4 linked regions of the Notamacropus eugenii genome follow. The protein of the gene in region 3 interacts with the protein of the main gene of each other region in a pairwise test. Links are inferred from orthologs where the notes say so. Each region holds a gene or a part of one and is shown on either strand. Other genes may lie near its edges.

The links.
Region 1: the proteins of STAC3 (region 3) and EAF1 interact in binary tests that used the Homo sapiens proteins (3 or more experiments, as listed by UniProt). The two-hybrid records come from large-scale screens. The link is inferred for Notamacropus eugenii from reciprocal best matches to the Homo sapiens genes STAC3 and EAF1.
Region 2: the proteins of STAC3 (region 3) and SREK1IP1 interact in binary tests that used the Homo sapiens proteins (3 or more experiments, as listed by UniProt). The two-hybrid records come from large-scale screens. The link is inferred for Notamacropus eugenii from reciprocal best matches to the Homo sapiens genes STAC3 and SREK1IP1.
Region 4: the proteins of STAC3 (region 3) and C1H1orf35 interact in binary tests that used the Homo sapiens proteins (3 or more experiments, as listed by UniProt). The two-hybrid records come from large-scale screens. The link is inferred for Notamacropus eugenii from reciprocal best matches to the Homo sapiens genes STAC3 and C1orf35.

What each region holds. Positions count from the first base shown.
Region 1 is NC_092874.1:38,508,186-38,515,140, reverse strand, and holds the start of EAF1 (ELL-associated factor 1), read left to right. Parts: upstream 1-3,939; 5' UTR 3,940-4,180; coding exon 4,181-4,283; intron 4,284-4,497; exon of another isoform or gene 4,498-4,699; intron 4,700-4,893; coding exon 4,894-4,988; intron 4,989-6,490; coding exon 6,491-6,627; intron 6,628-6,955. Other genes in the region: tRNA N(3)-cytidine methyltransferase METTL6, read right to left, coding at 1,224-1,358, 2,013-2,285. UniProt on the Homo sapiens protein: Acts as a transcriptional transactivator of ELL and ELL2 elongation activities.
Region 2 is NC_092875.1:319,600,091-319,606,952, forward strand, and holds the start of SREK1IP1 (protein SREK1IP1), read right to left. Parts: upstream 3,017-6,862; 5' UTR 2,553-3,016; coding exon 2,540-2,552; intron 1-2,539. Other genes in the region: spliceosome-associated protein CWC27 homolog, read left to right, coding at 3,235-3,276. UniProt on the Homo sapiens protein: Possible splicing regulator involved in the control of cellular survival.
Region 3 is NC_092874.1:232,680,177-232,687,439, reverse strand, and holds the start of STAC3 (SH3 and cysteine-rich domain-containing protein 3), read left to right. Parts: upstream 1-4,260; 5' UTR 4,261-4,356; coding exon 4,357-4,455; intron 4,456-4,726; coding exon 4,727-4,994; intron 4,995-5,253; coding exon 5,254-5,351; intron 5,352-5,584; coding exon 5,585-5,660; intron 5,661-6,108; coding exon 6,109-6,200; intron 6,201-7,263. Other genes in the region: R3HDM2 (R3H domain-containing protein 2), read left to right, coding at 134-519. UniProt on the Homo sapiens protein: Required for normal excitation-contraction coupling in skeletal muscle and for normal muscle contraction in response to membrane depolarization. Required for normal Ca(2+) release from the sarcplasmic reticulum, which ultimately leads to muscle contraction.
Region 4 is NC_092872.1:9,916,480-9,924,215, forward strand, and holds the start of C1H1orf35 (multiple myeloma tumor-associated protein 2), read left to right. Parts: upstream 1-4,720; 5' UTR 4,721-4,957; intron 4,958-7,736.

The DNA.
Region 1 (6,955 bases), about 190 Mb from region 3:
TCTCTTTGAAGCATGGAGGATTGGCAGGGGATCTTTTCCTTCTAAGACTGAGAGGTTTTTCAATGTATTGGAATCCCAAGGAACTCTAGTATTCCTTTTCCATTATCAATAAGGTATCCCAGGACTGTATGTCTTACACCCTGACAGTATGGCTGTAACTCCAGGACTGGGCAGAATCCTGAACTCATAAAATATTTAGACTAAGATTTTCAGAAACCTATTTTATTGATTCTCACATCTATATATTCATTAATCACTGACCAAGATGGAGCAAAAGTCCTCTGCTGGGATCGTAAGATGAGACTAACAAGATGAAAACTTACAGGGAGAAAAGGAAAGACCTGAGTCAAAATCAGCTAAGGGGAGAAGTTTGGGGCACCCAGGCAGTGCAGAGAGTGGTGCTGGGCCTGAAGTCAGGAAGACTCAACACTGGGAGTTCAAACCTGGCCTCAGGCATGTACTGGTTGTGTGACCCCAGGCAAGTCACTTCTGCCTGTTTGCCTCAGTTTCCTCATCTGCAAAATGAGCTGGAGAAGGAAATGGTAAAGCCCTTCAGTGTCCCTGCCAGGCTTCTGGAGCCCTTTTGAAAAGTCCTAGGACAATGACTGCGACGCTATGGGACCTGGTACCACCCAGGCCAAAAGATGAGTCACTGAAGGAAGTGAGTACTCCCTGGGGACTTGAGAGCTACAAGCCAACATCTGAATCCTGACACGTAGCTCTGTCATGCAGGCTCGTCCTGCCTGGCCCTCGGGAATGGAGGGCAATTACAGGAAGGCAGATTTCAAGAAAACATAAGGAAAGATGTTTCACAATCAGTGCTGACAGGCAAGGATCACTGAGACTTCACAATTCACTTGAGGATCCCTCAGCTCGCTTTGTGCTTTGGGGAGGAGTTAAGGCAAAAATTACTTCAAAAGTCTCTTCTATCTGCCACTCTGTGCTTCCAATTCAAGAGTGAGATGTCATGGGTCACGGGAGTGACAAAGTGGGTGAGTAAACCTGTCACCTTCACTCTGCCAGTTACCAAGGGGGTCACCACCTAAAAGCTGCTGGTCAGAGTCTCAGTATATGCATACAACCAACTTATTTTCCCTTTCACAATTTGCACTAATTGGTAACATCAATTGTAACAGAAAAGGATTAATTTAGCCTCCATTGTGCCAAATCAAATGTACATAAATGGGCTTAAAGAAGTATCATCACAGACCTACTATACCAACCTTAACATACTCCACAGCCCGGGGTGAGAAGTCACACGCATAAGCAAAGATATTTCGATCTTCTTCTAAAAGTGGGAATAAACAGTTTCCAACCCCACAGCCAGCTTCAAGGATAATCAACTTCTGATCATCAAACTGAGGGGAAAAAAAAAAGAGTAGATGTTATATTTGCATGATCAGCAAATGAAACTGCTAATTCTCACCTATTCAAAATCTAGGTCTTATTGCTGAATAGAAAGCATGTGATAATTCTATGTTCTATTTGTGTTGTCTTAATTTGTGTTGGATTAAGTTTCACTAGCAGCTTCGAGTAAATGGTTTGCTGGCCAACTGTATTTTTCATGTCACAAGCACCAAGTAAGCCAGATAAGATGTGCAGAGTTTAAGACAGCAGGACAGCAGAAAAGACACCTTCAAGTAGACTGCTAAGCATTTAACGAATCTCCAAAACCTGAGACCCATTCACTGGCATTTACTTAACGCCCACAAAAGCAGAGTCAACTAGCATTCGTTAAATGCTTACTAGGTGCTGGTACTTCTGAGCTAGAGTTGGCCTCAGAAGTCAGGAGGACCTCGGTTAAGTCCCGTGAGTAACTTAATCGCTAATACCATAATTTACAGGGATGTTGGATCAGCACGTTTCCTCCCCAGGAGTCCCATTCAGGCCTTATTTCTCTTATCAGCCCTCCCTCACAAGTCATCATTATTTCTCTGATGGCATGTTTTTCTTTGGCAACGAAAGACAAACACATACTATCTTTCTTATACAGGCAGTATTAGTTGACTTACCTCCCTACATGCCCTCAGTTCCTCAAACTCTCTGGTGGTCCAGTGTCTATCTTTGAAGAAATTTGTACTATTTCTCTTGTAAAACAGGTCCCAATTCTTCTGGGCCTCCTTTTCTAGTTTTGCCTGTTTAAAGGGAGACACAACTGTACCATCTCTGTCTTGAGGCCTGCTCTCTTGTTCTTTCTTCCGAAGTAGATTCTCTCCACTGGTGGACATTACCACGTGTAATCCCATTAAAGAGTCTTCATCCTTGTAATTCCCAGATGAATTCATCTTCCTGCAGCCCTTTTGAGGATAATTTCTTTTAGCTAGGTTTCCTCATGTTCATTTTCAGGCAGCAATTCCCCCGACTCAAACAGGATCAGGAGCTAAAAAAGGAATAAAAATGAGAATACGGTCAGTTGAACATTTTAAGGTGGATAAAATGAGATAGTATTTGTAAAACTGTATTTGCATCACCCAAAAATCAAGTGGGGAAATCCCACTCAGCAAAAATCCAGGTCTTCCTGGATTGTTGAATGAGAGCATGTGATCATTTTATATTCTATTTCTGTTGTTTTAATTTATGTAGATTAGAAGCGACATAGTAACGGGTTCATTGCTGGGCTATAGCTTCCTGTGTCACAAGCGTACAGTGCCTGCACACAGTAGGCACAATATAAATGTTTATCCAAATGAGACGACTACGAAGCAATTTTAGCACAATGTACGTGGCACACAGTCATATAAACAGACGCAATTATTATTGTTGTGGTGATATTTTCTTCCCTTCCCCAGAGGATGGTTCAGCAGAAACAGAATTCCTGAAAAATCCAGTATTTAATAAGTGCCCACTATATGCCAGACTATGTGCCAATGTAATTTTTGTCACACCCACTGTGTGGGAACAAGAAGGAAACCATGGCATCTATTGGGGGAGGGGAGTCTAACCTCAACATCCCCCACCCCAGGCTGCCCCCCTAAACCCTGCTCTGCACCCTGCACCCCAGGCTGCCCCCCTAAACCCCACTCTGCACCCCCCACCCCAGGCTGCCCCCTTAAACACCGCTTTGCACCCCGCACCCCAGGCCACCCCCCAAACCCCGCTCTGCACCCCCCACCCCAGGCTGCCCCCCTAAACACCGCTCTGCACCCCGCACCCCAGGCCACCCCCAAACCCTGCTCTGCACCCCCCACCCCAGGCCGCCCCCCTAAACCCCGCTCTGCACCCCCCACCCCAGGGGGTACAGCCACGTTTTCCAGACCAGGTACCACGGGCCCTAGGGAGGTGCGGCTGGCCTCCAGGGCCTCGAGGGCCTGTCCAAGCGTTACCCCCTGGGGGCAGGCTTGCCTTTGTATTTCCAGGGCTGGGTACCAGGGGCCAGGCTGGGGGCTGGACGGCCCCTCACCCCCACTTTGGCCAAGCTCGTGGGGGGAGCAGAGCTGCAAGGGACGTGGGGTCCAGCCCCCTCGTTTTACAGAAAAGGAAACTGAGGCCCAAGAGTCAGAGAGCCGGGGCTCCTCCCACCCTCATCTTGGAACAGAATTTTTACAAACCGGGAAACTGAGGTCGGGGGGGAGGAGAGGGCTTGCGTGTGGCCATGGGGCTAGTCAGTGGAGGGGCCGGGATGAGGACTCTGGGTCTCCAGGGCCTCAGCTTCCTCGTCTGTAGGATGGGCACAACCTCCCTAACTGGCCTTACCTACCCGGCTTGTGGCGAGCGGCCGAGTCGGCCTGGGGCCGGGGCCGGGGCCGGGGCCGGGGGCGCACGGACAAGGCCCAAGGCTGGCGGAGCAGGTGCGCAGCCCTGTCCCAGAGCAGCTCAGCCCGTACCCTCCCAGGCGCGGACCGGAAGTGTGCTCAGTCCCGGGCCTCGGTCGGAACGCTTTCCCTGTAGCACTGCTCCGCCCCACTTCCGGTAGGGGCGGTGACGCCGGAAGTTCCCTCCCTATTCCCCATAGACCCCGCCCCTGGCGCGGCGGAAGCGTAGAAGGAGATTCCGGCCTCTTTTGGGGGTCGCCCCCGCCCCCGCAGCCTCGGAGCGGAGCGGTGTCCCAGTTGCACCATTCCCCCCTGCCTCTGCCGGAAGTGCCGGCCGGCCCTCAGGGCGGGGGCGGCGCTGAAGAAACCGGCGTAGGGGTCGGACCGGGCGGTAACTGGAGGCCGCCTCCCCCGGCGGGGAAAGGGCCATGAACGGCACCGCGAACCCGCTGCTGGACCGCGAGGAGCACGGCCTGAAGCTCGGCGAGAGCTTCGAGAAGAGGCCCAAGTCCTCCTTCCACACCATCCGCTGTGAGTACCCGCGGGCCGGACCGGCCTCCCGCCCCCGACCGAGCCCCCTCCCCCCCCGCCCCGGGCCCCGGTGGAGTCCTCCGCTCCGCCCTCCCGCTTCCCGGGACCTTCCCAGCGCCCCCCACAGACTCCTCGTAGACGCCCCCGGCGCCCCTCCGCCCCGCCCCCCTCCCGAGGCCCGGCCCAGGGGCTTCCTTTAGCGTCCCGGTCTGACCCGTGAGCCCCGCGCGGGGCGGGGGCGGCCCGGCAGTCCGGACGCGGGAGCGGTCCGCTGGACCCTCCGGACAAAGGAGGACACTGAGGCCCGGGGTCGCGGAGCTCGGCCCGTCACTCCTCGCGCTTTTCTCTCGCCGTCATATCGGGCTGTTGGGTTTTCCTCTTACGCCTCCCAGAAAAGCCCCGTCCGACCCAAAGCCTTCCTCGTGGAGACTCGGGGCGGCTCCGCGCGGGCTCCGTGTGGGGGGCGGCCTAAGACGGCCCCCCCCGTCAGCGGGGGCTCGTGGTGTTGGGCGCTCACCCGAGCCAGGGCGACGTCCGAGCTCTCAGCCGGGCCCGCCAGGGGGCCCCGGGTCAGCGGCCCGGCCGGGCCTGACCGTGTCTGTCCTCCCAGATGACTTCAAGCCGGCGTCCATAGACACCTCGTGCGAAGGAGAGCTGCAGGTGGGCAAAGGGGACGAGGTCACCATCACGCTGCCGCACATCCCGGTGAGTGGGCCTGTGTCTAAGGCCGGGAGTGCCCCGCTGTGCCAGGGCTGTGTCTGTCCTTAATGGTTTTGGGTGGTAATGGGGTAATATTCCTTACAAGGGTCAGCTGCTTAGAGGAAAAGTGGCTAGCACCGCCTTCACCAACACGTGGCTGCCCGGAGCCTTGGGCCAGGCTGGGAGTCACCTGGGTGGAGGGTGGTGGAGGGTGGAGTCCCCCATAAGCACCTAAAGCCCAGGCCGTGCGTGGGTCCAGAATTAAAGGGGATGGACAGAGATGGCAGGCCTAAGGCCACAGGGTCTGGGCAGCTGGGATGGAAGCAGGACGTCTCCGTAAGAGGAGCCCGGGATCAGAGATCAAATCGAGGTGTCGCGTCCCAAAGCAGAACTGATCCAGAGAGGTTTGAGCCCAAGATGCTGAAAAATGGGCACCTGAAGGAAGGTTCCTTGAGAGGGAGGAGACGTGTTTTTGTCCCTGAATCTCCAGGCCCAGTTTGGGGCTCTGCACTTTTTTGTCCAGAATGGGGATGCCACTGGTGTAGGGAATTCTTGGGGAGCAAGGTCTACAGCTTTGGGGGGGAGGGGATGGACCAGAACAGAGAAAGATTTGACTCAGTAAGATAATAGAGATAAAATGCTTTGGCAACTTCGTAGCATGTAACCGATGTCCATTGTTACTGTCTCTGTTAATGAGACAGCATACCAAAATTAATGGGATGCAGCCAAAGCAATTCTTAGGGGAAGTTTTATATCTCTAAATGTGCAGATGAGTAAAATAGAGAAACAGGAGATCAATGACTTGGGCATGCCACTAAAAAAAGCTAGAAAAAGAACAAATTAAAAATCTCCAATTAAATATCAAATTAGAAAATCAAAGGAGAGATTAATAAAATTTGTTTAATTTTTAAAATTAAGAAAACTCGAACTAATGAATAAACCTAAGAACTGGTTTTATGGAAAAAAATCATTAAAATAGATAAATCTTTGGTTAATTTTATTTAAAAAAAGAAAGTCAAATTGCAAGTATCAAAAATGAAAAGGGTGAATTCACCACCAATGAAGAAGAAATTAAAGTAATAATTAGGAGCTGTTTTGCCCAATTGTATGCCAACAGATCTGACAATCTAAACAAAATGGATGAATATTTGCAAAAACATTAATTGCCCAGATTAATAGAAGAGGAAATAAAATACTTAAATTATTACTGTCCCTGTTTTAGGATCATTTAGTCCGCTCAGGGATAATAAACATCATATCACTATTTGTCTTGATCCCCAGGGGGAACCAAAAGCTATCCCAGAAATCAGTACATTTTGTTCTATATGCACAACTTTAACTGGTAAGAAAAGGATGGAAATACTTTAAATTAGTTGGGAGGGCTTTTTAAAATGAGTCTGAGTTACTCATGCTAGCTAACCATTTTAAAAGATAGTCACCTTTTTCTAGTTAGTGGCACATTCCATGTGTCATTTAAGATGACTGTCTTGTGCTTTTACTTTAAATAGGGATCGACACCTCCAATGACTGTGTTCAAAGGAAACAAAAGACCCTATCAGAAAGACTGTGTTCTTATCATTAATCATGACACTGGTGAATACGTGTTGGAAAAACTCAGTAGCAGCATTCAGGTCAAGAAGACAAGGTGAGTATCTGATGAATCCATACCAGCACACATCTGCCATGGGGCAGTTGACAAAGCCCATCCCAGGACCTCTGGTGACATGGGATCTCTGATATCATTAGTTTGAAGAGCTCCCAGCAAAAAAAATGGTTTAGTAGATGATTCCTAGCGAGTTCCCCGAAGCCCCCAGATGTTGGTGACCTGCTCAGGGGCACACAGCTTGGAAGCATTCAGTCCATGGCTGTGCTGCTTCTGTGGGATACCAATGAAGGGACTGAAGGTCAGAGAAGGGCCTCCAATCCAGGCTGTCTCCCTCTAAGCTCTGTGCTCCACCGGGAAAGATGCTTAC
Region 2 (6,862 bases), on a different chromosome or scaffold from region 3:
ATAATCACTATTCACGTGCACTACTGTAATAGTCTTCTACCGTCCAATGAATGCTTTCCTCCTCTGCTGAATTCCTCATTTGGAAATCAGGTCACATCACTTTTCTGCTAAAAAATCTACAATAGCCTTAATTTACTGCCTAGGCAAAGTTCAATCTCTTGTCTGGCATGTAAGGTACCCTCCAGTCTGGCATTACTACCGTCATACATCAACTATCTAGTTCAGGCCAAAGTGGCTATTCTGGGAATGTACCTTTAGGAATCTTTTTCATTAGTCCCAAAGGAATTCCCCTACCATTCTTTCGTCTACTGAATTCCTATCCATTATTTACAATTCAAATTAAAATGCCAACTCTTTCTCTGGGACCTCACGTAGCATTTTACATAAATCTCTAATGTACACATCATGTATAATTTTATATTATAATTTGTGTGTGTGTGTGTGTGTGTGTTATACTCTCCAGAAATACTAAGTACCAAGAATGTAGAATGATCCCTGACTTACCAAAATTCTACTTCCCCATATCCCTTGACAACGTAGATTTGGGGAGGCAGTTTATAGGATCATAGATTTAAAAATGAAAGTTATCTCAGATGCTATCTAGTCTAATCCTATTATTTTACAGGTAAGCAAACTGAGTTCCAGATACGTTAAGTGAGGTACCCAAGGTTATACAGGTATTAAAGAGGCAGAGAATTTAAGTGGGTCCTGACTCCATCTCCAAGCACTGTACCATGAAGTGGGCAATTAATACATGCCTATTGAATTGATTTGAGTGTATTCCCAGGAATGATACTTTAAAGTAGGTAGGACAAGTATTCACTTAGGAAACTGGCTCAGAGAAATTTTCATTCTTTAACCATGCCTCAATTTGGGGTAGGGATTCTTAACTTGGGATACAAAATAGACAAGAGGTCTGTGGAAAGATTTTAAGGAGACTGTGAATTTAGATGGGGGAAAAAGACTTCTTTTTAAAAACTAACCTCTAATTAAAATTGAGTATTTCTTTCAATTATTTAAAAACATTATTTAGGTGAGGGATCCATAGGTTTTACCCGACTGCCAAAGGGGTCCATGACCCAGGGGAAAAAAGGTTAAGAACTCCTGATTTAGGGCCATAGAATTTAGAGCTGGAAAGGGTCCTTAAAAACCACTTAGTGTATAACCTCTTTTAAAGGAGTCAACAGAGGCACGAAGAAATTAAGGGGACTGTGTCTTGCTCTCTGGTGGTGGTATGTAGAAAATATGTCACATCTAGATTAATTAAAATTAGGCTTTGGTTTCTAGACACTTTTCACTACACCACCCTGTCTCTGGAGTTTAACTTAATTAAAAAAAAGGCATTATTACTATTAAAAAACTTTTAAAAATATCACGCTTCCCCCATCTCTCCTACTCTCTCCCCCACAAACATCTGTGCACACACACCATGTATACATATATACATACCACATGCAGACATGAACGCACAACATATATACCTATAAACACACACCACATATACACTGTCCACAATACTGTCATATATGTAACACCACATACATACCACAAATATACTTTATACATTCGCACGCACATGCATGTACACCACATAAACATATACCCATGCATACAAAATACATCACATAACATATGCATACCACATGCATATACAGCATGCTTACACTCATACATGCACGCCACATATAACATAATCAGACACACATATATTCATAAACATATATTACATAAAATATGTATATACCATATATACACATATAAGCATACACATGTAAACACATACACACACCAGACATGACATACAACTACAAACATAATGTGTTTGTGTACACGCATGTGTATACATGTACGCAACACAAGCCACGTACATGTCTATATCCCACACTCTCAAGCCATATCACAGCACACATTTCGCCCACATAATACATGCTCGCACATGTACAATCACACACAATCATACTACATTCATATACGTATAAACATATACCACGCAAACGTAATCAAATACGCCACCCAATGACATGTGTGCTGTGTTGTATCCCACTCTTCATGACCTGTGAGGTGGTTCTCTTGGCAAAGATAGGCGAGGGGCTGGCCACTCCCCTCTCCAGTGGAGGTGATCTGTCTAGGGCCGCACAGCTAAGGAGTGTCTGAGGCCTCACATGAACCTCTAGGCACGGATCTACCTAGCTGCCTCCACCGCCTGGTACACACACCGCACATACACAATGACACAATCACACATGTGTTCGTACGCTACACACACATACAGACACCACACATACACACTCACGTACACGTGATCACATATGCACAATACACCACACACGTGTTCCCACTACATTCATACATGTAAGTACATCCCCCATATACACACTCACAGTCTACAATCACACCGCACACACACATACACAATCCACCACGGAAACCTGACCTCCCGCTCACGCTCTCCCTCGCCCAGGCCGCAGAGCTCCGAGCTCCCCCGCCACCTCCCTCCCGGCTCGCCTCCCCGTGCTCCGGCCGACCCCGGGGCAGTCACCTGGCAGGGCCATAGCCCGGGCGGAAGCAGCCTCTGGGCCTCAGCTGCCGTTGCCACCGCCGCCGCCGCCGCCGCCGCCGCCGCCTTCGCTCCCCGGACACCGCTTCCGGTGACTCCGGCTGCGCCGCGGGTTTCCCCTCTCCCGCCACAGCCTCCTCTTAGGGACCCGAGTCCCGAGGAAGACTACAGAACGCGGCAGTTTCAGCCGCAGTTCGCGGACGGAGGCATAAGACCGAGCACTGGTGGTCCAAACCATTTCTGACATATACATACACCGGGGGAGGGCGTTTAGGACTTGCCAATCGTTAACTAAAGATTGATTTAAAACAAAAGAAAGTTTCTTGCGAAGCTAGATAATTAAATGAATATTAACTTCAAGCGGATGCTCAGCGGGCTCTCTTCACTCTCTCCAGGAGAATTTCTGTAGGAGAAGGTCGAGGACACCCCTCCCCGCAGAGAGCGGTGCGCAGGGCCAGGTGCAGTATGGCGGCCGCCTGGGTCAGTTAGTGCCTTGTTAGGCTGTCGGAAGGGCAGGACCGGCAGTTGATGCCGTAGCTGAGGCCGCCTCTAGGAGCTGTCAGGACTGGCCCGCTGGGCTTTCCCTTCGCCGTGCAGCGCGGACGGTCAGACAGAGAGCCCTTGAGCCTCGTAAGGAGCCCGGCAGCGGATCTCCCCTCCCCCGACAGCCGTCCAGGATGAGCAACATTTACATCCAGGAGCCGCCCACCAACGGAAAGGTGAGAGCGCGCGCGGGCGCGGGGGAGCTTCCCCCTCGCTTCCCTGTTGGCGGGGTGCGCTGTGGAGAGCGCCGGCCGCACCTTGGAGTCGGGAGACCCGAGTTCGAATTCCCGCCCTGTCGTTTACGAGCCGTGCCGCCTTGGATCAGTCACTTACCTTCCCCGGGCCTTAGTTTCCTTGTCTTTAAAGTGAGGAAGCTGGACTAGATGACAGCTAAGGACATGGCAGATTCCATCCCCCATACTTGGGGAAGATTTGCAGTTGGACCCGACGCGAACTGGGTGCTCAGTTTTTCAAAACACACAGAGAGGGGAACTGTCTACTTTCTCCTCTTTCCCCCCAGCCTTCCTTCGACCTCAGAACTTTTGAAGCAGGGGACTCTTAACCCTCTTTTGTGTTCTGGACCCCTTTGCCGGTCTGGTGAAGTCTGTGGAACCTTTCTCAGAAGAATTTTGAATAATTGGTTAGTGAAAATAAGGATGTAATTTTTTTCCCATGCAAATTTACAGGAACCTCTTCCCCCCCACCCCCCCAAAATCTGTTTACATCCCCTAGGTAAAGAATCCTTGCATGAAAGGAAGCCCAGTCAAGTATTTATCATGAACCCACTATGATCCAAAATCCGGATTCTGGAATCTGGATTCAAAGGATCCCAAAGTGGGCGAAGCTGGAAGGATCCAGGCTCGGGGCAGGACTGGTGGTAGAAACCTTGGGTGCAGTTGGGAGAGCTTAATAAAAATAAGGGGCTGTGGAAGCACAAGGAAAGAAGAGAAGAAAATTTTGAAAAACTTTGTACATGTCTCATCTGTTGTGTAATGAAGTCAAAGTCCTTGTGAGTAAGTGATTTTCCAAATAAGCATACAAAGTGCAAGCTATAGCCCATCAGTGGTTAAGTCCAGGGGCAGGTCTTAAACAAGCAGATGTTGGCAAGTGAGGTTGCCCTGCATTGTCAGAAAGTCCAGAATATCAGCGGGAATCCCTGCAGGCCATGACTTTTTACAATAGGATACTATGTTCAAAATTTCAATGCAGTCAAAAACCCCACAAATTTATAATAAATTATTAGATTTAGCTTGTGTAATTTAAAAAAAATTTTTTTGAAATGATGCAAATTTTAAAAAACACTTTAAAGTGTTAAAGAAAACTTTCTTTGTAGATTTCCAGGGGTGTGCCAAGTAATGTTTTTTTGAAAAGGGTCCTTAAGCCAAATAAGTTTGGGAACCTCCTATCTAGATGCTGGAGATCCAGGTAGGGCCTTTGGTACCACCTAGTCCAAACCCTTCCTGTTGTAGATGTGGGAAGGGAGATGGAATGATGGGACTTGCTTAAGGTCACCTGGCTAGTAAGTGGTCAGCCAGCCAATAAGCATTTATTAAATGCCTACTACAACATTTATTAAACCCCTGTGACAAGTGCTGTGCTAAACGGGGATTCAAAAAGAGGGAGAACACAGTTCCTGCCATAAAGGAGCTCACAGTCTAATGGGGGAGACAACAAACAAACATGTACAAACAAGTTATATACAAGATAACTAGGATATAATTAAGAGAGATTTGGGGCACTAGAACTAAGAGGGGTTATGAAAGACTTTCAATGAAAGACGGGATTTCAATTAGAACTTAAAGGAAACCAGGAAAATTACTAGGCAGAGTTGAGGATGGAGAGCATTCCAGGCCTGGGGGACAGTCAGAGAAAATGTCCTGAGCTGGGAGATGCAGTATTTTGTTCCTGGAACAGCAAGGAGGCCAGTATCAGTGGATTGAAGAGGATGAGTACATTTCATAGAGTAAAGGCTTAAGAAGAGTAAAGGAGGGCTCTAGAATACGAAGGGTCAAACAGAGGATTTTTGTATTTGGTTCTGGAAGAGATAGGGACCCACAGGAGTTTTATCAAGAAAAACAGTCAGTAAACATTTATTAAGCACCTGCTTAATTGCCAGGTACTTTGCTAAGCACCAGGGATACCAAAAGGGTAAAAGAAAGTTCCAGGCCTCAAAAAGCTTATAATCTATGAGGTAGACCATATGCAAATCTATGCAAAGCAAGTTATATACTGGAGAAATAGAGATAATTGAAAGAGTGAAGTTTATTGAATAGACATGGTCGACCTTGCATTTTGGGAAAATCATTTTTGGTTGAATGGAGGGTGAATTGAGTGGGAGAGACTAGAAGCAGGCAGACCCACCTGCAGGCTATTTTCAGGGTTCACTTTAGAGTAATGACAGTGTCAGAGGAGAGAAAAGGGCATGTTTGAGAAATGTTGCTGCAGAGGTAAAATCAACAGGCCCCTGAGAAAAGATTGGAAATGGGGGTTGACAGTGAGTACAAGATAACTCCTAGGTTGTAAGCCTGAGGACTGGGAGGATGGCTTTGCCCTCTACAGTATTAGGAAAGGTAGGAGGAGGGGAGGGTTTAGGAAGTAAGATAATAAATTCCATTTTGAATATATTGAGTTTAAGATGTCTACAAGGTAGCTGAAGATGTGAGATTGGAGATCAGTAGAGAGACTGGGAAAAGAAGGGTAAATTTGAGAATCATTAGCTTTAAGGATGATAATTAAATAGATGAGATCTGATGAGATCAGCAAGTGAAGAAGTAGTATAGAGGGAAAAGAAAGCCCCAGGTAGAACCCTGAAGGATATCTGTGGTTGGAGGGCATGATCTTTGGGAAGATCCCACAAAAGAGACAGAGAAAGAGTGGTCAGATAGGTAGGAGGAGAATCAGGAGAGTCATATCCCAAAAACCTAGAGAGAAGAGAATATCAAGAAGAGGATGATCCATAGTCAGAGGCTATCAAGAGGTCAAGGAGACTAAGATTTGGAAAATTTTGCCACTGGATTTGAAAACTAAGATCACTGGTAACTTTGAAGAGATCAACTTTGGTGGAATGATAAAGGTCATAAGTCACATTATAAAGGGTTAAAAAGAGAGTGATAGGAGAAAAAGTAGAGACACTTAACATACATTGCCCTTTTAAGAAATTTACCTACAAAAGGCAAAAGAGAAAGAAGAGAGGGGATGGAAAGATCAAGTGACATGTTTTTAAAGGTGAGGAAGACACGAATATCATTTACATTCAGTAGGGCAGGAATTTCATAGATAGGGAGAGACTGAAAATAAATGAAAGAGTGAGAATGAGAAAATTGCCCTTTGTTGGAGGAGCTGGAATAGAATGGGATTAGTTCAGCAGGTGGTTGGATTATCCCTGGTAAAGAGTAAGGGACCTTATCATGTGAAATGGGTGAAAGGAGATAGTGGCAGAAGCATATGAGTGATGTGAGATGAGGAAGAGGGGAGAAGAGGGAGTGCATGATGAATGGCCTCAGTTTTTTTTCTATAAAATGTGAGCAGGTGAAAAGAAGAACTGCCTAGCAAGAGTGAAAGTTGAAGTTTCTGGGTGAGAGCCCAGTTGAGGCTATGTTACATAAATTTGTAGTAGAATGGTTGCATGAGATTTTCTCCATCATCATTTAGCAGCACATATGTAGATGTGGGTAGTTGTGAAGGAGGTGGATGGAGGAAGTGATCCAAGGCTGAGGCTTGGCAGGATATAATTAGTGATATGCTAAGAGTGATAGAGAGTTA
Region 3 (7,263 bases):
GGGTGGGACTAGAGATGGGAGTGGGGGAGGTGGGGCTTCTGGGAACAGTGTATATGGACTTGGTCAGTTGGATCCTTCTCTGTCAGGACACTGTCCAGTCCCCGCCTCCTCTTGCCCCCTCCGCCCCTCACAGCCACATCCTCTCTCCCCCTTCCAGTCCTGGGGCGGGTGTTGGAGGTGACAGATCTCCCTGAGGGCATCACCCGCACAGAGGCCGACAAACTCTTCACGCAGCTCGCCATGTCCGGCGCCAAGATCCAGTGGCTCAAGGACGCTCAGGGGCTGCCAGGCGGCGGGGGCGGGGGCGGTGGGGGGGGTGGGGGGGACAACAATGGGACTGCCGAGAATGGCCGGCACACAGACCTCGCTGCCTTATACACCATCGTGGCTGTGTTCCCCAGCCCCCTGGCGGCCCAGAATGCCTCCCTCCGCCTCAACAACTCCGTGAGTCGCTTCAAACTTCGAGTGGCCAAAAAGAACTATGACCTGAGGATCCTGGAGCGGGCCAGCTCCCAGTAGGCAGAGGAGGGGAAGAGGCCAGCACCACGGGTTGGGGCAGGGTGGTGTGGGCAAGGGATGCAGAAAAAGCACAGATAGAGATGCTGATCCAGACAGACATGAGACATGCATAGAGATAAGACATAGATATGGAGACTGAGGCCATAGACAGTGAGACAGGCAGACACAAACACACACAAACACACACACACAAACACACACACACACACACACACACAGAGGACTCAGTCTGGGGTTTTCTTTGCCACCTTTTCCCTCTCTTTCTCTGGGTGGCACCTCTCCTCTCTGCCTCCCTTTCCCTCCAATCCTCTCCCTCCTTTTTTGGACATCCCTTTTTCCCCATCCTGGCCTCCAATGCATTTCTTTCATTTTGGAGGGGTAGTATGGAGGGGTCCTACACTCCCCCATTCCTCCCCTTCTCCTGCCACCCCATCTCCTCTTCCTCTTTTTGGTCTTTATGAATATATTTATATGGACAGAATTAAGAAGAAAAAAATAAATTGATTTTCCCCCTCCTTTCACTTCCCCACCATCTTGTCTCCCCTATCCCATGAGTTAAACCTGTGCCTACCCCTCCTCTATCCACCCCAGCCCCCCAGAACACTTGTATATTGTTTGTTTGAGGTTCGTGCCGCAGTAACAGACACAGTATTTAATTGCACATACAGATGTTTGCTGGGTATGTTCACTGTAAATTTTATTTAATCTGGGTTTTTTGTTTGTTTTGGGGGGTTGTTTGGGGGGTTTTATTTTATTTTATTTTTGTTTTGTTTTTAAATATAAAAAAAAATCATCTGTCACTGGACGTCAGTCCTGGTTTCTCTGTTACTGCCCTTGGGAGGGGGTTGCAGGGAAGGATTTGGGATAGAGTGGAGTGGAGCTGCCTTCCAAATGGATGTGATCCTGCCACCCTCTTTCATTCTCCCATCAATCCTCCACCTGTTCCTGTAGGTGTCTAAACCTTTGGCTTCAGGTCCCTGATGGGGCAGGTATGAAGTGAGGACATGAATGCAGCTGAGTTTCTGGCCCAGCCCTCATCTTCCACTTTCCCCCTGAAGTCTTTTTTAATACTGTGCTGGCAGGTAATAGGGGAGTAAGTGTTCCCTGCAATAAAAGCTGCATTTCCAGAACCTGCAGTATTTTGACTTCCTCAGTCAGTCAGGATAGTCTCAGCATCCCCTTTCCTACATACAGGAGAAAGAAAAGTCATACCTAACAAATTAGCCCTATGCTATATCGCCACATACCCCTTTTTGATCCTCATGCCTCTCAGTAAATCTCATTTTCCTTAAGTTGCCCTCGATCCTAAGATATCTTAAGAACCCAGATGCCTAGAAGTAGATCCACCTTCAAGTTCAGCCTACACAAAACCTCACTGCCAGAAACTTACTGGCGATCTTTGACCCCACTGGACCCCATGTAGAAAGGAACAGAAATGGGTTGAACAGCCTGAGCTTTCACTTGGGGCTAGGTAGCTTCTCTATTGGGTTTTTTCTGACCCTCCAGTCTAATCCAGCTGTTAGAGGGTCTTCATACTTCATACTTGGAATTGGTGAGGCAATATGTTGTCATTAACAATTTCTCTGCTGTGGTAGGAGTATCTCCCCGCCAAGCTATCCCCCTACCCAAACTAATAGAAGAAGAATGGCTTGGTACAGTGGAGAGAGCCCTGGACTTGGAGTCAGAGGCCTTAGGTTAGAATTCCAGCTCTGCTGGCTCTGTTACTCTCTGGGTGATCTTGGGCAAGTCACAAGGTCTCTTGGTATCAGTGGCCTCATCTTTAAAATGAGGGGGTCAAACTAGATGACCTTTCAGGTCTCTTCCAGTTCTAGAAATCTGTTACCCTATGATCCTGTGACATGCACTTCAGGTACAAATTGGCCATATTTGTGAAGTCCATGTTCTGGGGCATTCTGGTGTGGGGGAAGGGGAATCAGGATGTTGAGAACCATCAGAGAGAGGGGGAATGGGAGGGCCATCTTGCCCCTAAAGTCTTCTTGACTAACATGGTGGGAGGGTCAGGAAATAGAGGTCTGGCGATACACTAGTTATGAGGACATTTTCTTAAGTAGCTGAAACTATCTCTCCATTGTTGTTTCTTGTAAACATGGAGGCAGCTCCCCCCCACCCCCATCTGGTCATTGGGTTGTTGAGATTCTTCATTCCCTTTTCCCATATGGATCCTAGACCACTTTCAGTCACACTCGGGCTCCCTGCCAGCGTGGTTGGGATGGGAGATTGCGGGGAATGAATGTCCAGATACGATTCAAGAAAGGGGGCCATATTAGATTGTACAGTTCTTTGCAAGACAGGTAAGCTATCCCCTTCCCCTCACCAGGGATGAGGAAGCAGCCATATCTTGTTGAGAAGTAACCCTGTGAACTTGAGTTGTCTTTCTTTTATCTCCCACCCCAGTTCTCAGCCTAGGACTACATCTGCCTGAAGTGTTCATAAAGGGACAAAAAGCCACCCTTGATATATTCAAATGTAGGTGCCCTACAAAGACTTGGGGAAGGATGATGTGAATAGGTGGAGTTGAAGCCAGTAGCCTATGGCTTCTAAGGGTGGGTCCGGAGTAGATAGAAATGATGAAAGTGTTTAGTTTTCAAAGTGGAGGAGGGGCAGGTTGTAACCTTTTTTACTCCAATCAACTTTCCAGAATCCCTCCTAAAGGGGCACAAAATATGAGCGGAATTGTCCTGTAAAGCATTTAGTTACTACTATACTGAACATAGGTGAAGGGGTGGGGATAGGGCAGCTGTTATCTCAGCCAGTTGTGGCTGAAGAGATTTGGGGGAGGGAGGTCAGGGTCCAACACTGCCCCAGGCCTTTTAGTTTCCAATTTCTCTGTGTCAGCTGTGTTGCTCAGCTGTCCACTCTCCTCTAGCCCTGTCACTTAAGCTGTGACGCTGAAGGGAGAGGCTAGGTCTGCACGCACCAGCTGGGGAGACGTGAGCACCAAGGGTATTTTGGGGGTATAAAGCCCCCCGGGCAAGAGGACAAAGCCTTCTTTTTCCATTCCCATCCAACACCAACACCAAGCCTCCTAACCTGGCATCCTCTTACCTCCACTGGCTGTGGACTGACATAGGGAATCCCAAACGTAAGTTGCCTTTTCTTACGACTTACCAGACAGTGACTCCTTGGGCTCCCACATCTCTCAGCCAGTTCACCTCTCCCGTTTGCCTTACCTGGCTGTTAAGTAGTCTGGGGTGTACCAGTTCCAGTCATTTCTTTCCCTGAAGAAAGGGCTGGGATCAGGAAAGAGGGTTGGGGAGTTAATGTCCAGGGTATAGAGTAGTAGAGAAGGGAGGTCATATTACATTGAAAACTTAAAAATAGCCAACCCCCAAGGCAGGCTGGGGCAGGGCCTGACCTAGAGGTAGTGTTAAAACGCACTCCCACCCCCAGGCTTGGAGAAATGAGGGGAGCGGGAATTCTCTACCTCTTTTCTCAAAGTGAGAATTTGGGGGAGGGAGAAAAGGAATCCAGGGAAAGGTTACATAGGGTCATATACAACTGCCTATAGCCTTGAAGAAAAGAGAAAGCCTCAAAATGAGAAGTCTGTCTTGATGGAACTTCTACAAGGGAATGGAGGCTGTCTTCCGTAGGCCTACCTCGGTCATCTCCCAGTCTGGGCCCTTATATGGAGTCTCCTTGTTTAGGCTCCTTTGTTTATTAGTCTCTCATTCTGGAAGAGGGAGATAGAGACCCCCTTTGTGTGTCTCAGCTTAAGAGACCTGCAGTTCTCTTCCCAAAGCTCTATTTGTCCTATCCTACAAGGTGAGTTGAGTCCCTAGAAGTAAGAAAGGGAGGGGGGAGGGGTGGCAAGGAAGGATGAAAAATCAACAGTGGGATCCCCACTCTTGCAGGATGACAGAAAAAGAGGTTCTGGATTCTCCCAAATCTTTCCCAACAGAAACACCAAAGAGTGGGGTGAGTCTGGGCCTCTGACACAGGGCTTTGATAGGTGGGAGGGCACACTAACAACCCCACTCTTATCTGAACTGATGGTTACAGAACTAGAGGCTGTGGGGCTCATCTCAGTTATGTGTAATTTATTTAAGGTACATTTGCCCTACACACACACTCTCACTCCCTCTCCCCTCTGGGGAACATCTCAACCCTTGACCCAGAACATTTCCCAGGTGGTTTTAGCCTAACGAAGTGGAACTGTAGTCTGAATCTTCCCTTTGCTCCTCCCTAGCTACAAAGGCTGAAGCAATTATTCAGGAAGGAGTCTGTAGAAAGAAAGGAGATGGAGCCCCCCTCTGAGCCCCAGGCCAATGGAGAGGCAGTAGGGGCTCAGGGGGGACCCATCTACTACATATATGAGGAGGAGGAAGAGGAAGAAGAGGAGGAAGAGGAGCCACCCCCTGAACCCCCTAAGCTTGTCAATGACAAGCCCCACAAGTTCAAAGATCATTTCTTCAAGAAGCCCAAATTCTGTGATGTCTGTGCCAGAATGATTGTTCGTGAGTCTGGGAAATAGAGGAAGATGGGATGTGTAGAGCGTCATGGGACTGTGGGTTGAAGGGACTGGGAGAGAGATCAATATTGCACAAATTTAGATGAAGGTGGGGACTGTTAATGGATGTGCTTAGAGAAGCCTGGATAGGTTGAGGCAATCTAAGAAATGAAAGAGGAGTCACTCGGGATTGGGGTGATGCTGGAAGCAGAGGAGTAGAGAAAAGGTTTCGTGATCTCACCCAAATGTTCTTTCCCTCTACCAAGTTAACAACAAATTTGGGCTACGATGCAAGAACTGCAAAACCAATATCCATGAACACTGCCAATCCTTTGTGGAGATGCAGAGATGCTTTGGCAAGATTGTGAGTTAGGTCTGGGAGCACGGGGGTGGAGGGTAGTGTTGAGGACATCTGTACTCTGGATGAATGCTTCATAAGTTACCCCCATTCATTCCTTGGTATCTGCTTCCCCAGCCCCACTCATAAAGGACAAAACCCCCCTGAATAAAGGAGGAAGGCTCCTGGGTGCAGAGAGGGGGCTTTTGGGTCCAGGGCCCTCTCCCCTTGTCTCAATCACCTTCCTGTCTCCCCCACAGCCCCCTGGTTTCCGCCGAGCCTACAGTTCTCCACTCTATAGTGACCAGCAGTATGCCTGTGTCAAGGACCTACTGTGTAAGTTGCCTTTATTCCTCCACCCAGTTGAGGGAAATATGCCAGAAAATTGATTGTTTCTGTAGTCTGGAAGCTTCTTGGTCACCATGACTGCACCACTCCTGACTTGGGAAACTGAAACTTAAGACTGAAGTCTCTTGATGCCTAAATTCTAGACACCCTGGTTTTATTCTCATCCTGAAATTTTTAGCCACTCCAGCTTGTAGACTCTTGGAAGGAATCCATACCTATCTTGAATACCAGCCCTGTTGTTTCTAGGCCCAAGTGTCCCTGAGTTCTAAGTAGAAAGCAAAACTTCTAGTCTCCCCCCTCACTTCCCTGTTACGTTCTCAGACCTCCTTCCCCACCTGTATCCACTCAGTCCTGCTGTCTTCCACAGAAGAGGACCCTCTCTTCCTGTTCGTCAGTAATGTTTCCTTCTCTTTCCTATGCCCCCTTTTACTCCTAGCCAACCGAAATGACCCTGTTTTTGAGACACTTCGAACTGGAGTGATCATGGCAAACAAAGAGCGGAAGAAGGGACAAGCAGACAAGAAGAACGTGAGCTTCTTCTGCCCCTTTCATGGTTGGAGCCCCACCCCCTTCCCAAGAGACCTGCTTGAGACCCCTCAGGAATGCCTAATAAAAATAATGGCTAGCATGTCTGTAGAGCTTTAAGGTTTGCAAAACCCTTTACAAATATCTCATTTTATCCCTGGAGGATAGGTGATAGTAGTATTACCATCCCAACTGTAAAGATGAAGAAACAGAGGCAGGCAAAGGTTAAGAGACTGGCCCAGGCTCACACAGCTAAGTAATATCTGAGGTCACATTTGAACTCAGATTTTCTTGACTTTGCCACAAAGCTGTTCTAGATTCTCCAGATTATCCCTTAGAACTACAGCTGGGGGACTGTGACTGCCATTGAGGGGGAGGAGAACAGTAGTTGGGCATTATGATGAGGTTATCAGGTAGGATGCTTTTAAGAAGAGGAAAATATGTTCCTGCTAAACTAACCTTGTTTCACTTTCTGATGAAGCCATTGGACTAATGGATCAGGAAAATGTTAGTTGTGCCTTGACTTGAGCAAGGCATTGCTGAATGCTTTTAAAAAGCAGATTCTGTGAAGTAACCAAGTGCTTTTAGACCTGCCTGGAACAACATGTTTGTCAAGTTTGTGGATGACCTGAAGCAGGGACAGGTAACCAGTGTGCTAGCTGACAGAATTACAATTTAAAAACATCTCTTAGGGCTGAAAAGATAGGCAGAAATAACAAGATGAAGCCTAATAGGAATCAGTATACCTTGTTTACATTACCTCGGTCCTATTCCTTTCCTATTTTTACCTCATTTGAAGGTTCCATGGAAAAGGAGAGGCCTTAAAAGAAGAGACTTTTTATCAAACCCTTGATGAGCCAAGTGCATATTTTGTCAAGTGGAAGCAAGGTGGTGCAGTGAATTGGACCTGGTAGGTCTGAGTTCAAATCCTGCCTCAGATGCTGGGACCCTACCCTCCCAGGCTCAATTTCCTCATCTGTAAAAAGGAGATAATAAAAGCACCCAAGTCACAGGGTTGTTTTGAAGATAAAATGAGTTAACATATAAAGCCTTTTGCAAACCCTAA
Region 4 (7,736 bases), on a different chromosome or scaffold from region 3:
ATCTGACTATGTCACACCCCTACTCACATCAACTCCAGGGACTTTATGTTATCTCTAAGAAGTACTGTGTTTGGCATTTCAAAAGCCCTTCATGTCCTAGCCCCCTTCTACCTTTCCAGTCTTCTTCCACCTTCCTCTTTGCCATGTACTCCTCCTGGCTGTCCCACAGTCAAGACCTCCATCCAGCAGCTCCAGGCATTCTCCCCATGCGCTTCCTCCTCCACTCCATCTGCTGACTTCCCCGACTTTCTTTAAATTCCAACTAAAATCCCATCTTTTACTGGAAGCCTTCCCCAACCCTTCTTAATTCTAGTACCTTCCCTGAGTTAATTCCAATATTTCCTGTATATAGTTTGTATATGTGTGTATGTATATATAACACATAAAAATATATACGTGTGTGTGTATAAAATTTGTTTGCCTGTTGTTTCCCCCATGATCCTGAACTCCTCAAAAACAAAGACTGTCTTTTGCCTCTTTCTGTACCCCTACTGCTTGGCACATAATAGGTACTTAATAAGTGTTTAATGACTGACTTCAGGGATGGATTCAATCAGTGGGGAAAGTTGAGAACACCCTGGCCATCTTGCCATCAGCCCTGCCAGCCTCCAAACTGGGCCAGAAACCATACTCTTGTCCTGTGGCCCCACTGTTCTGACCGGTGAATGCTTCATTATATCCCTCCTTGTTTCACTTTACACTGTAGCAACCCACCCTGCCTCCCTCACTCCCTCCTTCCAGCTCTGGAATCATAATCAGTACTACCATTCCTATTAGAAAGTGTGTCAATGACCCCCCTTTCTCTCCACTCATCATCTCTTCTACCTTCCAGATCAAAATTCCATCCTTAGCCACCATACCCTCTTATGCGTATTGGCTCTCCCATTAGAAATAAGCTCCTTTTTGTATTTCTATCTCCAGCTTTTAGCACCGTGTTTGCACATAGCAAGTACTTAATAAATGTTTTTGCATTCATTCATTCAAAAATAAAGATTGTCAATGATTTTTTAAAAAGGGGAGGGAAGAGATCACAGGGAGGAGCAGCACAGAAGCAAACAAGAACGAGCATGGCTTGTTCTGGGACTGGCAACACCCATGGAGGCCACACTGACTGACCTGGAGGGGTGTGAAGGGCTTCCTGTCGGGTCATGCATGCGCTCACAGCCAAAGAGTACTTGTTTTCCAGTCAACATTTTCTGATCGATTTATCACTGGATCATTGATTGAGAGCTAGAAGGAATGTTAATGGTCTCCAACTCAAGTAGAAATGGGAGCCATGAAGTTGTACATAAGGATCTCTGAAGATCTTTACATTAACTTAGAAAGTCACACACCAACATTATCTGTGTTCTATTGTATTTTTATTTATTTGATTAAACATCTTCCCAATTACATTTTGATCCCGTTCAGACAGTGCTCTGTTGGGAGTGTTGTGCCTCCTAGAGTGTGTTTAAAACCTGATCTAGACCAATCTCATCACTGGAGATGAGGAAACCAAGTCCCAGAGAGTCTGTGTCACACAGACCAGAAGGGAGTAAGCAGCAGCAGGGATTTAAACCTAAGTTAACTACTTCTAAATCTAGCACTAGCCTACACTGCCTTCCATGTCAGAAATCCCATGCTTCAAATGAACCAAAAAGTGCACAAAGCCAATGCAACCAAGATTAGAAGGGAAGCAGAAAATGGGAAACAATGTTTACAATGTCTTTGATAAAGGCCTCATTTCTAAAATATATAGAGAATTGAGTCAAATTTATAAGAATACAAGTCATTCCCTCGTTGATAAATGGTCAAAGTTTTCAGAGAAAGAAATTAAAGCTCTCTATAGTCATGAAAAAATGCTGTAAATCACTATTGACTGGAGAGATGCAAATCAAAACATCTCTGAGGTACCACACTACACCTATCAGATTGGCTAACGTGACAAAACAGGAAGGTGATAAATGTTAGAGAAGATGAGGGAAAATCGGAACACTAATGCATTGTTGGTGGAACTGTGAGCTGATCCAACCATTCTGGAGAGCAGTTTGGAACTGTGCCCAAAGGGACACAAAAATGCATACCCTTTGACCCACAATACCATTTCTAGATCTCTGTTCCAAAGAGATTACAAAAATGGGAAAAGGAGTCACGTGTACAAAAATATTTATAGCAGCTCTTTTTGTGGTGGCAAAAATTGGAAATTGAGGGGATGCCCATCAATTGGGGAATGTCTGAACAAGCTGTGGTATCTGAACGTAATAGAATATTATTGTTCCATAAGAAATGATGAACAGGCGGATTTCAGGAAAACCTGGACTTGCATGAACTGATGCAGAGTGAAGCAAACTGACCCAGGAGAACGCTGGGCACAGGAACAGCAGTGTTGTTCGATGACCACTGTTGACAGACTTGGCTCTTCTCAACAGTGCAGGGATCCAAGACTCCTGATGGAAAATGCCACCACATCCGAGAAAGAACTGTGGAGTCTGAATGCAGATCGAAGCAGGCTGTGCACTCTCTTTTTGTTTCTTCTTTCACGTGGTTCCCAATTATTGGTTCTAGTCCTTCTTTACAACATGATCAATGTGAAAATATGTTTAATAGGAATGTATATGGGGAGCCTGTATCAGACTGCGCACCATCTTGGGATAGGGGGAGGAGGGAGGAGAAAATTTGGAACTCAAAATCTTAAGGAGTGAGTGTTGAAAACTGAAAATAATTAATTAAAAAAATGAAACAAAAAGCAGAGAACAGGTGGCTCTGTGGCCTCAGATTCTAAATTTGTGACAAAAGGACCACATTCAAGGGAACCAGTGAGGGGATCCTTAGCCTTGTCCAGCCCAGTTTCTTTGTATGGGAACCATAACTGCCCTTCCCAAAGTGACTGATCATCTTGTAATCGACAAATCTAGTGCTTTTCCCTCATATCTCACTTGTTTCACCCCTTTAGCATTTATCACTACAGACCACCCTTTCCTCCTGAATACTGTCCCCCCTCTTCCATCTTCCTGATTCTCCCCTGTGCCCCTGGCCTGCCAGAATTCTGTCCTGAGTCTTCACTCTTTACATGCTCTCCCTGTGATACCCTTAGATACCCTTAGTGCCCACAGGTTAAACACATGAACCATGTCTCCAGCCCTTGGACCTTTGCCCAGCTGCACCGCCGGCTCCTCCTCAGGAGTCTCCAGTTGGACCACGTTATCCTATACCCTCCATCCCCCGCCACTTCTGTGCAGGGCACCGTCATTCTGCCAGTCACCCAGGTTGGCAACCCCCCATATCTAATCAGATCTCAAACACAGCCTTCCAACTGGCCTTTGCCTCAAGCCTCTCCCCAGGGGTGGCCTCGAGGCCACGTGTTCTAGGTCCTCGGGTGCAGCCCTTTGACCGAGTCCAAGTTTTACAGAAGGATTTGTTCTATGAAGGTGGCTCCAATGGCAGGGCAGCACTCGAGGACCTGGAGGTCCACAGGTGGCCTCGAGGCCCTCGCCACCTCCTTGCGCGGAGTCCTCCCCACAGCTCCCTACTGCCCGTGGGATCCGACACTGCGAAGGCCTTCACCCCCAGACCCCAGCTTACCTTTCCAGCCAAACTGATCTTCCTGTTTCTCCCATCTCCAGGTCTTTGCCCTGGCTGTGCCTCATTCCCTAGTGCCCTTCCAGGTTAGCTCCAGGAGTCCTCGTGTGCACGAAGGCGCCGCATCCCCAGCCCCACACAGTGCCTCGAGGGGCCGTGGAGCCCCTGGGAGGAGACCCGCCGCGGACGGAGGAGGTGCCCCGGCCTTGGCACCGAGGAGGGGGGAAGCCAGGGCGCAAAGAGAGGCTGCCATATGAAGCAGGTGTGAGCGGCGCTCCTCCAGGAGTCGGGCTGGAGGACGAGGCCGGGCTGGTCCCCGCCCCTCGGCCCCCCCGCCTGAGCGGGTCCCCGCCCCCCGGCCCCCCCAGCCTGGGCGGTCCCCGGCCCCCCGCCCCCCGGCCTGAGCGGGTCCCCGCCCCTCGGCCCCCCAGCCTGGGCGGTCCCCGGCCCCCCGCCCCCCGCCCCCCCCAGCCTGAGCGGGTCCCCGCCCCCCGGCCCCCCCAGCCTGGGCGGTCCCCGCCCCCCGCCCTCTACCCCCCCCCCGCCCCGGCCTGGGCGGTCCCCGGCCCCCGGCCCCCCGCTCCCCGCCCCCCCCAGCCTGGGCGGTCCCCGGCCCCCCGCCCCCCCCCAGCCTGAGCGGGTCCCCGCCCCCCGGCCCCCCCCCCCAGCCTGGGCGGTCCCCGCCCCCCGCCTGGGCGGTCCCCGGCCCCCCGCCCCCCCCAGCCTGGGCGGTCCCCGCCCCCCGGCCTGGGCGGTCCCCGCCCCCCGCCCCCCCCTTGGCCTGGGCGGTCCCCGCCCCCCGCCCCCCCCTTGGCCTGGGCGGTCCCCGCCCCCCGCCCCCCCCTTGGCCTGGGCGGTCCCCGCCCCCCGCCTGGGCGGTCCCCGGGAAGGCGGCGCTCAAGGGCCTCCGCCTCAGTTCCCCCTCTGAAGAACGGGAAGGAGGCAGGCCTGCTCGGACTGCCCGTGAACGTGGCGCGGAGCCGAGGCGGCGAGGCGTGAAAGCGCCCTCTGTAGGCTGCGAGGCCCGGCCCCGCAGCGCCTCCCGGCGGTGACCGACGGAACCGCAGGACCTTGCCAACTCCTTCTCCATCCCCGCCCCCGCGGGAAAGAGGATCGAGGAAAGAGAGGGGCGGGGGAAGGCGGGCCTTCCGGCCGCGGCTCCGCCCACTCCGGCTGGGGCTGTAACGGCGGGCGTTCTCCTGTGCCCGCTCCGCTGTGGCCTGTTCCCCCCCCCCCCTTATTGTGCCGCGGCGGAAGAGCCTCCCGGCAGACTGCGAAACTTGGTGAGCCAAGCTGGGCCTGGGTCGAGGAGCCTGCGGTCCAAGAGGGTCTGGAGCCGGACGGGCCACGGGCCACGCTGGGGTCCCTGGTCCTGAAGAGCTGAAGGGACGAACTCGAGGTGTGTGTGTGGGGGGGGGGGGTGCCATGGCCTGAGGGGGGTTAGGGGCGGAGCCTGCAGGAGCCCTCCTGGGGGGCCCGAGAGGAGGGGGTTGGGGGCAGGGTGGGGCTTGCGGGAGCGCGCCTGGGGCCTGATAGGAGTGTAGTGTGGGGGCGGGGCTTGCGGGAATGCGCCTGGGGCCTGAAAGGCGGGAGCAGGGCTTGCAAAAGCACGTCTAGAGCCTGATAGGAAAGGGGTAAGATTTGAGGGAGCGTACCTGGAGCCTGATAGGAGAGAGGGCTGGGGGCGGGACTTGAAGGAGCGTACCTGGAGCCTGATAGGAGAGTGGATAGGGGCGGGACTTGAAGAAGCATGCCTGCATCCTGATAGGAGAAGGGTGGGGGCGGGACTTGAGGGAGCGTGCCTGGAACCTGATAGGAGAGGAGGGTGAGGGCGGGGTTTGCGGGAGTGCGTTTGGGGCCTGAGAGGTGGAAGTGAGACTTGCAAGAGCGCGTCTAGAGCCTGATAGGAGAGGGGTGGGGTTTGAGATAGCGTGCCTTGGAGTCTGATAGGAGAGAAGGCTAGGGGTGGGACTTAAGGGAGCGTGCCTGGGCTCTGATAGGAGAGAAAGCTAGGGGAGGGACTTGGGCGTGCCTGGGCTCTGTTAGGAGATGGGGGGGGTCTTGAGGAGGCATGCCTCGGGCTTTATAGGAGGGGAGTCTGGGGCGGAGCTTGAGGGAGTGCATCTGAGGCCTAATAGGTGGAGTGAGGGGGGCGGGATCTGCAGCGGCACGTGTGGGGAACGGGGAGTGGAGTGAGCCGAGGAGGCATGCAGCGAGAGAACTGAGGGGTGACGTCCGAGGTGTGAAGGGAGGGGGCCGCCCATGGGCTGCCAAGGCCCAAGACTGGCTGAATCGGGGACAGAGGGGATGTCTAATAATGGACATAACGCTTTAAAGATTGCTGACCTCTGGATCTGCAGGACACCAGCAGGTGCTGTGGTTATCCCAGTTTTACCGGCTCGCCCACGGCCCAGACCTCCCCGACCGCCCGGGGCCAGCTCCCTGCTCTGTGACCGCCGCCCGCACTAACTGGACTTGGTGTGTCGTGTGCTTTGAAAACTTCACAGGGCTGTATGAATGGGAGTTATGGCTGAGGCTTGCAAAATGCTTTCCTCAGTCACTTTGTGAAAGGGTTTTTTCATTTATGTTTTTATTTTTGGGAGAAAAAACATTGGATTTGGCTGAGGTCGCAGAGCTGGACCCGGGCAGAGCCCGGATGCAAGCCCAGGCCACCCTCCTCCCCATTCAGCCTCCTTTCCATTACTAGCTCCTGGATTCCCTGTGACCTCGGACAAGTCAGTGAAGCCCTTCCAGACCCTAGAAAATGTCGTGGAACTTGGGTTTCAATCCCAGCTCTTCCATTCACCACGTGTGTGACCTGTACAAGTCATTTTATCTCTCGGGACTTGTTTCCTCCTCTGTAGAAATGAGGAGGATTAGACTTGATGACCTGAGGTCATTTCCAGCTCTAAATCTGTGATCCTACGAGTGATTTCTCCCTCAGTCTTGGTTTCCTCATCTGTAAAATATGCGTTGGGCCAGGTGATCTCTTAGGTCTCTTTCAGTTCAGATGTCCTCTGCTCAGAAGGCACTTTCTGTCTCTGATACTACCCAGTCTGTGACTGTTAGCATTTCAGATCAGAGGAGGACATTGAAGAACTGGTCAGTTGGGATAGTGCCTCAGTCTTCACACAGGGTGCTCCATGTTAGCAAAGACTTTGTTTCCCATATTGGACAAGGAGCTCTTTGAGACGACAGAGGTCTAATGTCATGGGACATTAGAATGGATCTCAGAATGTAGAATTATAGCATGTTAGAGCTGGAAGGAATTTTTGACACCACCTCACTCATCCCGCTCCTTTTACAGGTGATACTGGTCCAAAGAGGGAAAGGTAATTAATTGGCCAAGGTGATATTGAGTCCATGGAAGAGTCAGGACCAGAGAGCAGATCTCCTGCTGTCTATCGCAGACTCTTTCAGGCATCAGGCTGCTTTCCCAACCTTTGGCTGTTCTTTCCTCCAATTCTAGCTTGGATACTCAGTCTCTTAGAAGTTCAGAATTCTTCCCTTATGGGAAGGCTGAACAGAGAGTGTCTCTAGTCATCTCTCCTTCCTCTTCCCTAGAAGGGGATGGTAGAGCTACAGGGGTGGTAGAGCTAGGGAGCTGGCCATCTACAGAGAGATGGGCCCTAAACTTTGTCCATAGTTTCTCTCTGGGTCATTTATCCTCGAGAAGGAAGAGTTGATGTCAGGAGAAAGATATGGGAAATGGTCTTCTTGTTTTCTCTTTTGTTTGTGAGAAGATAGAATGAACTGAAGCAGTCAGGTACAGTGAGAAGAATAAAGAGCAGCTTGGGAGATACTGGAGCAAGGCATGGGTTTGAGTAAGCTTCTGTTCATGAGCAGGAACAATTAAGCACTTACTTGTACCCTGCCCTGGGGAATGCACATAACAAATAATGAAACAATCCCTAATGGCCAAGAACTTGCATTCTAATGTCATCTTACCCTCTCTGAGCCTCAGCTTCTTCCTGTGAAATTAGGCTAAAAAATCCTTGCAGTATCTAACTCACGGGGCTCTTGTTGGTAAAGCATAGTAGAAACGTGAGATGATGAGGATGTTGTTGATAATAATTCTTCCTGGTTGATGAGCCCGCTGCCTGTCAGAAAAGCGGTGATCTATTTGGAGGAAAGTGTAGATGGCATGCTCATCAGATGTTCAGATTACATTAAACTAG